2 linked regions of the Drosophila melanogaster genome follow. The protein of the gene in region 2 binds, or shares a complex with, the protein of the main gene of each other region. Each region holds a gene or a part of one and is shown on either strand. Other genes may lie near its edges. The genes, in order: SWIP and CCDC53.

What was found.
Region 1: CCDC53 (region 2) and SWIP share a complex: the UniProt entries of both Drosophila melanogaster proteins name them as parts of the WASH complex.

The regions. Positions count from the first base shown.
Region 1 is NC_004354.4:16,311,591-16,318,341, forward strand, and holds SWIP (strumpellin and WASH-interacting protein), read left to right. Parts: upstream 1-2,118; 5' UTR 2,119-2,228; intron 2,229-2,289; 5' UTR 2,290-2,291; coding exon 2,292-2,807; intron 2,808-2,868; coding exon 2,869-3,075; intron 3,076-3,131; coding exon 3,132-4,232; intron 4,233-4,294; coding exon 4,295-4,547; intron 4,548-4,601; coding exon 4,602-4,756; intron 4,757-4,822; coding exon 4,823-5,249; intron 5,250-5,313; coding exon 5,314-5,519; intron 5,520-5,579; coding exon 5,580-6,023; 3' UTR 6,024-6,160; downstream 6,161-6,751. Other genes in the region: CG9915 (uncharacterized protein), read right to left, coding at 1-1,292, 1,358-1,376; Cyp1 (cyclophilin 1), read right to left, coding at 6,592-6,751. UniProt on the Drosophila melanogaster protein: Acts at least in part as component of the WASH complex which may regulate wash nucleation-promoting factor (NPF) activity and is required for its membrane targeting during endosomal sorting.
Region 2 is NT_033779.5:8,039,311-8,042,589, reverse strand, and holds CCDC53 (Coiled-coil domain containing 53), read right to left. Parts: upstream 1,485-3,279; 5' UTR 1,442-1,484; coding exon 1,397-1,441; intron 1,338-1,396; coding exon 892-1,337; intron 832-891; coding exon 792-831; 3' UTR 711-791; downstream 1-710. Other genes in the region: RpL36A (ribosomal protein L36A), read left to right, coding at 1-150, 465-602. UniProt on the Drosophila melanogaster protein: Acts at least in part as component of the WASH complex which may regulate wash nucleation-promoting factor (NPF) activity and is required for its membrane targeting during endosomal sorting.

The sequences.
Region 1 (6,751 bases), on a different chromosome or scaffold from region 2:
GCGGCTGCGGGAGCGGGATCCGCTTCTAGAACGCCTCGATCCGCTCCTGGAGCGCCTAGATCCGCTCCTGGAGCGCCTGGATCCACTCCTGGAGCGCCTGGATCCACTTCTAGAGCGCTTGGAACCGCTCCTAGAGCGCCTGGATCCGCTTCTAGAACGTCTAGAACCACTTCTAGAGCGCCTGGATCCACTTCTCGAGCGACTAGATCCACTTCTCGAGCGACTGGATCCGCTGCGGGATCGTCTTGATCCACTCCTCGATCGCCTGGAGCCCGAACCACTGCGCGAACGACTCGATCCGCTCCTAGAACGTCTGGAGCCACTGCGTGAGCGTCTAGAACCACTGCGGGAACGGCGAGATCCGCTGCGAGAGCGCGCCGATCCACTACGAGAGCGCCTGGATCCGCTCCGGGAGCAAATGGAGCCACTTCGGGAGCGTTTAGATCCACTGCGCGATCGCCTAGAGCCACTTCGAGAACGCCTTGATCCAGATCCACTGCGAGATCGTCTAGATACAGAGCCGCTTCGCGAACGTCGAGAACCGCTCCGCGATGCATTTGAGCGTCTAGAACCGGACCTACTGCGAGATCGCTTAGATCCACTGCGAGAGCGACGTGATCCACTGCGCGATTGCTTAGACCCACTGCGGGAGCGGCGCGATCCACCACGGGATTGCTTAGACCCACTGCGGGATCGCCTAGAGCCACTGCGGGAGCGACGTGATCCACTGCGGGATCGCTTAGACCCACTGCGTGAGCGGTGCGATTGCTTAGATCCACTGCGGGAACGCCTAGAGCCGCTGCGGGATTGTCTAGAACCGCTGCGGGATCGTCTAGAGCCGCTGCGCGAACGTCTGGATCCAGCAGGCGATCCCGGTGCTGCGCCAGAATGACGGGAGCCACTGCGGGACGGAGCGGAGCCGCTCCGCGACCGCCGGGAACCGTTTAGCGACTGCTTGGAGCCACTGCGCGAACGCCGGCCACTGGCTGCCGAGTGCACCGATCCGCTGCGGGACTTATGGGATCCGCTTCTGGAGCGGGATGCGCTCTTCCTGGTAGCACTGCGACTGCGACTACGCGAGCGATCGGCGATGGCCTCGGCATTATCATCACCATTCTTGGGTGCCGGCGAAGGAGACTTGCTCTTGCTCTTCTCTGGCAATACTGGCTCGAAATTGGTTGCGTCGGGATTGGTATCTTGAATTTCCTTTAGCTCCGCTTTTGCGGCCGTGTCTGTTGTGGTCTTCTCGAGTGGCTCGGATAAGGTCTCGGCTTCGTCGCCGCCGGCCTTTTCTGAAAATTAAGTGTATAAAATGGTTAAACAAGAATTTCCATTAAGAATCAATTTGGTAATCAACCTATTTCAGACGTTTCCATGCCGTACTAATTATTCCTATAAATTTTTAGTAGTACACAACCAAATTTGCCTAGTCAGTTGGTCAAACTGCTTTCAGGCTCAAATTAAATAATTCCTGCAATGACTTATAAAATACGACGCGATTTTATTGCTCGGCATTTGTAAGGCCAGTGGAACGAATGGAAACGGAACATCAACGCTTGTGTGTACACATACACTAATGCATACACGCTGTTTAGGGCCCTTATACACGACAAGCCTTTTGTTATCGATAACAAAACTTCTATGATAAGACATCCGAAATAACTTATTCTACAAAACATTTAAGTCCAAAACTTAAATATCAAAATTAAATTTGTTTATGGACAAAAGTCTTGTTTTAAAAATAGACTGCGACGTACAGGTATTCGTGTCAAGGAGTACGATTTTAATCCTTGGAAATCGATAACCAAACTTATAGAAATTGATTTAATTTGTTAAGTCAGAATGAAAACTAGGTATTGCATATATTCATAGTCATTACGATTATGTATTTTTACCGCTGTTTCTTGAATCAAAAATTTATATTGCTTCTTATATAAATAAAATGAATTTATTATCTGAGGATTATTTTTGCTTATAAATTGTATAAATAAATCATTTATCGGAATAGACATGCTACCAACTTTTCCATTCAATTAATCGCGATTTTCGATTTTACACAGTTTTTGGGTTTTAACTACGCTTGTTTAAACAAAAGATATCGAGAATTTAGCGTTATCGAATCGGAATCCACCCACTTGAAATGCCCCATCCCTAAATTTGCCATGAGAAAACCAAAACAATAATATTTTTAAAATTGGTAGACATGAAGGAAGAGCAAAGCTCTATGTGTATGAAAACGCCGATATCAGCTATGGAATACTATTCTTATCTATATATTTTCTATTTCAGCTATGTTTGCCGAGGATATCCTACGGGATTACGGCTCCTTCATATCGGAGCACGATGGGAAATTGAAATTATTGCGAGATAAAGTGCCTAATCGGGATGTTTCCGAGTCTGCACAGTGTGTATATATGTCGCCCGTGGTCGAGGTAAACTTTATGGGCAACGATTCCATGGCTCCGGACAGAAGCTTTGAGGAATCGGAGCTGGTGGCCAATAAACCGCTGACAACTCTGGCGAATCTGTGCAATCAGTGCAGAAATCTGTCCAGGAAGGCAAAACGGTTCCAGCTGGCATTCCTTTTCAGCGACTTTCGATTAGATGATACGCTCCCGCCACATACCCACACATCCGAGGGTTCCGCCGGCTTGGAGGGATCCTTGGTCCGCATGAGCAGCTCCATGGACTTCTTCTGCCAGGTTTACTTCTTGCTCAATCGCATGATTGTGATACTCCAAAACCTTTGGAGACAAATAGCCGCATCTGTTAGCGTCCCAATGGACATCAATGAAGTCCACATATTCGTAAGTCAACGATCGAACTCACATCTCAAGTGTAGTAACCAATTGAAGTCGAAACTTGCAGGCTGTCTTTGATGCAATGAGTGAGTTACTGGAACACATAGTGGTATTCAATGAACTGGCGAACCAATCGAAGATATCCACCATGTGGGCGCTGTACAAGAAGTGGCTGATGAACCTATCCAATAGCCAATCAGCGAACTTGGAGCTCAATGGCCTTAGTACATCGCTAATGGATATAGAGAATCTGATCACCAAGGATTTCTTTCGGGTAAGTCAAAGAAAAACGTGAATGGTAACCGCCCTTTCATGGATATTTCCAAACAGATTCTACTGGACAATTTGATGGAATTGAAGAAGCAATTTGGCCTGAATAGTGTTAGCCCCATCACCCAGCATTCCAATGCCTATATTCGTAGGCAGCTTCTCGACGTCGACGCGAATCCGAGTAACGAACTTAAAAACTATGAGGATCCCAAGCACATTATTCGACTTACCACCTTCGTGGTCGTCGTCCATGAGCTAGGCATCCAGATGGAGGGAAAACTGGTCAAGAATGTGATCGATTTGGTGGCCAGGCATAAGCAGGTGCCTCTCAACCGAAGCGTTTTCTGGTCGCCTTCCGGATTCCTCTCTCTACATGCCAAAACCCTGATGAAGTCTTCAGCCCGATCGCAAGATGGACAAGGCCCAAAAGTTCATAGCACAGTATTGGAGAAGTTTAGGCTTAGCGATCAGAGGACCTGTCGCCAATTGGGCGTCCAACTATCGCTGTGGTCCATCCAAATGCAAAGGGTATTCGATGTGGGAGTCTTTGGACACCTCAAGACTTTTCTGCAGTTGATTCTCAATGGACACTCCTATGCCGATCAAGTTAACCTGCTGGCAGTCGCGCTGATCAATCGGCACGTGGCTCTGATGACGCCCATGACCAGAAACGATTGGATCGTCGTCTCTCGGTTGCTGCAGTACCTGAAGGTCATTCAGAAGACCTTTGAGTCAAACCAAATCAATTTCGTGCGCTTTATCAGCTCACTGATACAATGGCAGAAGCAAAAGGTCATACACCTGCTGCACACAACGAAAAAGAAGATAGTTGTCCTCAAGTTGCTGCAGCGCAAGATCAACTTTTTGGCCACAATAAAGCTGGCCGAGAAGTCCATTATGGGATTTCCGAGCAAGCAACGTTTGACTTTCGTAAATCTAGCCCTCGGGGAGTTTCTAGATAATCGCCTCCTGCCCGCCGACAATCAAAAGTTGATCAAATCGATCCTACATCGTGTTAATAGTATCAGCGACATTATGCGGAATATTGGTGGACAACTTAACACGTCGGAGTCCTCGAGTCTGGTATATAATCACTGGTTTCTGGACACTTCGGTGCTTAAGGAGTACACCGAACTCCAACGCAATCCCTACTCCTTGCAGGTTGGTTTCTTACTCAGTTTCTGGCAAAGCAACTTCATGTTTATGCCATTTATCATCGGCAGAACCTCGTGTCGGTGAGCCATCATCTGGACAAGATCATGGCCATGTTCAGGGGTTCAAGGTGTCCCAAGCAATCAGCGAATGACTTGATCATTGAGTTTTTGAGCAACCACCTGGAGTTCTTTCTGCGCGTGGAGGCCCTTTCGCATCTCTTCCAGAGCCAGGATCAACCATTCCAGCAAAGTGCCTTAGACTATCGTCTCTGCATCAATGCAGTTGCAGTTGAAAACGATGGTGATTACAATATTATAAAAGGTAAGATATCGGTTACAAAACTGAGAGATCATGCCATTCATTAACATATTTTAGATCATCTTGAGAACTATTTCACTGCCACGTTCTACAACTTAACGACAATCGCTCCGCACGACTGGAAATCGTATGAAAAGATGCGTCATTTGGCCAACAAGGTGCTGCAGCTGCAACCCATCGATGACCACCTGCCCAATCAGATAATTGACCAGGTAACCAATTGAATCATCAATAAGCAATCTCTTCTATTAACCAAACAATTCTTTCCCACTTTCAAGGGCATAGACGTGCTGCAGATCATGCGGAATATACACACTTTCGCCTCCTCGTATGCCTACAACATGAACCTGCAGGTGTTCGTGGAGACGAACAGCAGGAGCAAGCACCTCGACATCATTGGCACCCGGCACGTGGCCAACTCGGTGCAGACGCACGGCACCGGTATCATCAACACCACCGTCAACTTTATATACCAGTTTTTGCGCCAAAAGTTTTACACCTTCTCCACCTTCCTCCACGACGAGCAGATCAAGTCGCGGCTGCTCAAGGAGCTGCGTTTTCACACGGAGCACAAGCACAGCAAGTCCTATCAGTCGTATCCCTATGAGCGCGCCGATAGTTTTCTTAAGAAGATCAGAAGGCTAGGCTGCTCCAGCAATGGCGAGACGTATATGGATCTTTTCAGGAAGGTTATCACACAAGTCGGTAGGTGGTTAAAGACCATAATTCAAGAAAATGCTTAAAATATAAACGTAAATATTGCTTTTAGGCAACGCTGTTGGCTATGTGCGCCTCCTGCAGGCTGGAAGCAAGAATGCCAACTTCCGGAATCGCTCGTATAAAACCAGATTCGACAGCAACTTCAGTTGCGGGGGCTCCAAAGTGCACGAGGCTACGGAGGGTTCCATCAGGGAGTACGAGAAGAGCCTGGGTCACATGAAGGAGTGCTATTCCGATAGCACAAATTACTTCAAGGTGCAGTCTACGATCTTAACAAGTTAGGTAACCAGCTTAACCCATGGATTTATATTGCAGCTTCTTCTGCAAGGCTTTCAGCCCTTTTTGTGCAATCCACATAACCACCACCTGCGAACCTTCTACCTCATCACACCGGCGCTCATCATGAACTACATTGACTACCGGGTCAAGCAGAAGCTAAAGATCTACAAAAAGGACCAGACCAAGATCTCGCTGTTCGAGGATGGCTTCGCCATCGGCCTGGTCTACATCCTCAACATGCTGAACCAGCAGACGGAGTTCCATGAGCTGGGCTGGAGCCAGACGATCACGCAGCACCTGAACGCGGAGCGCTCCAAGGTGCGCGACATTTTGGCGGGCCAGCAGCGGACGGCGCCGGAGCAGCTGGACGAGAAGCTTCACCAGACAGTGGCGATAACCGAACGACATGTGAACGCCTACGAGCATGAATACAATCTATTGTACGCCACCTTGAGTAGCTCCGAAATATTCTTCCAATAAAATATGTCCATTTACCAAAACCAAAGATCCCAGCAGTGACAACAAACAATTGAGTAGTTGGTTGCCGTTTATTCAGATTTATTAAGACGAAAATACAATTCCGATTCCGGTACATAGCGTAGAACGTTGGTATATATATATATATATGCAATTAGATAATCAGCATTACTAATACTATTATTAGTAGTAAGTAAGCCAACATCAAAAGATCAAACATTTTTCTAAGCCCCTCTCGACTCTTGTCGTCTCATTGTTTTTCTTCTTTGTTTTTTTTTTTGTGAATGGAAATGTTAAAGTTACAGATTTAATGCATATTATATAGCCAATTGAACGCTTTCTGACATTGGTGGGCACTAATTCTATTCACTTTTGGCCCCCACATACAATTGATTGGCCAAAGGAAACCCAACATGTCTATTGAAAATATGTTGGTTTGTTATGTATTTTTCTCGTAATATTACAGTACAGTAATTGGTAAAAAAAAATGTTTTGGAGAAAATGCAAATGGTTTTCGTCTTAACAGATTTTTCTTCTTGCAATGTTGCTGTTGCTTTTGCATCGCACCTTCTTAAAGAGAACCAGAGTTAGCCACAATGATCTTCTTGGAGGTCTTGCCAGACTGCGATCCATAAGATTCGATCTTCTTGACCACATCCAGTCCCTCGACGACCTCGCCGAAGACGACGTGCTTGTTGTCCAACCAGGCGGTCTTCACAGTGCAAATAAAG
Region 2 (3,279 bases):
ACCTTCTGCAAGAAGTGCAAGGTCCACAAGCTGCACAAGGTGACGCAGTACAAGAAGTCCAAGGAGCGCAAGGGAGCTCAGGGCAGGCGTCGTTACGACAGGAAACAGCAGGGTTTCGGAGGTCAGACCAAGCCCATCTTCAGGAAGAAGGTAAGTGCCCCCATTCGTCTAATGCTACCGGGATCGCTTGCCGCCGGATTGCCATCGACACTAATGGCGGCTAGATTGGAATCCCTGGAATGGCGCTTCGTAGAACTAAATCGCTGCGCTCGTTGAGCATTATGCTTTTTGGTGGGAAAAAACTGTGCCAGATCAAAACTGTTGTTGCACTGGTGCGGCCGTGAAGGCAACGTTGTGTGGCATCCATGCCCACAACGCCCCACCGGCAACTTCAGACAATCCAAATGAATTCATGACCACCATTTGTATGCCGCTTGCTAACTGGAGTTCTAATTCCATTTTAGGCCAAGACCACCAAGAAGATTGTGCTGCGTATGGAGTGCACCGAGTGCAAATACCGCAAGCAGACTCCCCTGAAGCGTTGCAAGCACTTCGAGCTGGGCGGTGACAAGAAGCGCAAGGGACAGATGATCCAGTTCTAGGCACCTTCTTTACACCATTAAAAATCCTTTTTTCGCTAACGAAGTGGTTTTATGTTGTTTTCGCGTCGCTGCACGGCGGCAAATAAAACAAAATAAACTTGTAGACGTAAGCTTTAAAAAATGTTTAATTGCAAGGTGTAGCAACATGTGCTATATCACAAGATCAGATCACGCTCTGCGCCAGGCAGCTCACTCTCGCTGGCCATCCGCCAGGATCAGATCGGGTGTGCTGCAATGGAAATGAGCTTGATGAGCTTTCAATTTGGCCAAACCTCTCCACGGAACTTACTCTAAAATACGCGGCTCCAGACCTTCGGATTGCATTTTCTGCTTAACCGCCGGTGCGGGCACACCCACTTGCACCATTTTGAAGAACTTTCTGTAACGTTGATCTTCACAGGCGCGCACACCAACCGATTCAGGCGGGAGTTCCGGCTCCGTAGGATTCTCGGTGGTCGGTGGTTCCGTGGTGTCCACCATGGATGCTTCTTCGTTGCGTTGCTGGTTTGATATCGCTGGCGCTTCGGTAGCCTCAGTCGCTACATGGTGCTCGGTGGGTATAGACGCCAGCTTGGCCTCCAGGATGATGAGGGCGGCCTCCGTCTTCTGCAGCTGCCGTTCCATCTCCACGAACTTCGTCTCACAGCCCAGGGCAAATTCATTTAGAAAGGTGCAGGTGCTGACGAGGAAATGGTTAACGAAGGCCAGGATGCGTTTCTGGTTCAGCGGCGGTATCTGGAGGAACAGAGTTGAGAGCTGCAGGTGCAGTTCACCCTTGAATATAAGTCCCATACCTGGGTCTTGTCCACATTGCCGGTGATTGCTGCAGTTGCATCCATTATTTTATTTTCACCAGCCGTCTTTTATTTTAGTACTTTTCTGGGTTGCCAGGCTGACTGACGATACTAAATATTGTTCGCTCAACATCAAGCTGATCCAAAAATTTGGTATTTCTCACGTAACTTAACACAGTTAACTTGGCGCCTAGTTTAAAAATGAAATAGAACTGAAGTTTCTTTCAAAAAACTTGTGTGCATATTTAAATGTTTTGAAATTTCATTTTTAAAGTGAAAAAAAACGAATAATATACATAAATACATAGTTATAGCTTAGAAACCCATTCAACAACAAATCCACCATTTTGTTTTAAATATTTTATTTATTCACTTTATTGTATCTTAACATGAAATGTGTGAATGTTATTTCTCCGAGTATTATGCACTTCTTCGTCAATTTATTATAAAAGTATCGTTCAGTTAATATGCATTTCCTTTGACATTATTATTTATATATGTATGTATAAACTTATGTGCTGGGTGTTCCATTAGGACCTGGGACCTTCTCACTATGCTCAAATCTACAATGAACTTTTATTTTGACTTAGTTAAATAATGCTTATCGTGCCCATCTCGGCGTCGCTTTCTGCGGCTTAAGTATTAGTTGGAATGCCAAATCGGATCCGCGTTTTATTTATTATTTGTATTTGTATTTGTTTGGAGAATTACATTACTTTTTGTTAGCAATTTTTTTTTTTTTGAGAATTTCATTGCTGATCCGAATTCTCGGTCTTTGTTGAAACAAAACGCATGCGTGCAGCTTGTGTTTGTCGGCAGTGGATTTGTAATGGTTTGTAGAAACGAAAATGCTTTCAATTCTGTGCGGTGTAGTTCGCAAAACTGAGTTAAGAAATCAAAAATGCTGCCAGCAGCGAGAACGGTTCGAAAATGAAAATGCCAAGTGAAAGTTATTAACTTTTGCCACCGTTGCAAACGAGAACCAGCTGGTCTACAACGTTCTCATCACTGAATCTGAATAGTTTGTGCGCTGTTTGTGAGAATTGTGAGAAATCAAAAGGCAGACGCAAGTCACAGGGCTTCTTTTTGTAAAACTTTATTTAAAATAAAAATACACGGTAATAAAAAATCAAGAATTTACAGTTAAAATTAGAAATCAATAGTTTTATGTATATATATATACATATATATATATATATATGTATATGTGAGTGGCTGCCCCCGATGGTCGTCCACAACTATTTTAATTATTACCATTATCATTCATCATCGGCTCATCAGAGTTTCGGATCACCGCGGTAATCCAAAAGGCGATTCGGATTCTCGATTGTAACAACTAAGGCGTAAATTAAAATACGTAATTTAAATAATAGAGGATTTGCTTGGTGTACACAGATCGCAATCGTTTTTGATTCTGATTCGTCGGTTTCGAATATCAAGTTTTTGGGTGTTTTTAAGGTTTGTGGAGAGTGTCGGTCGGTGAAAGGCTCACGTAAATGTAATTTGTAATAATAATATAATAATAATTGGTAATACTAAAAACTAATATTGAGTTGCTCGGCGTTCACGTTCAAGTCACATATCTAAATCTGTTCATTCATCGTGTTATTAATTTACTTGATTAAAATTACGAGTACGCATCCATGGTAAGCGAATCTATTTATATTCAACTACGAAATCCATTGGATCAGCGATTGGCGCCAACATTTTGTTTGTTTTGTTTGTTTGTAACTTTCTTTCATTCGTTAATACTAGGCATAAATTAAATAAATAGCTTAGCATACGTTTATAGCTTGCCTGCAGTTATTATTTATATCTCATCCTCACATGGTCGTGGTTAATCCATCAAGCATTGCGTACTCCCCTTGGTAATGACAATTGAA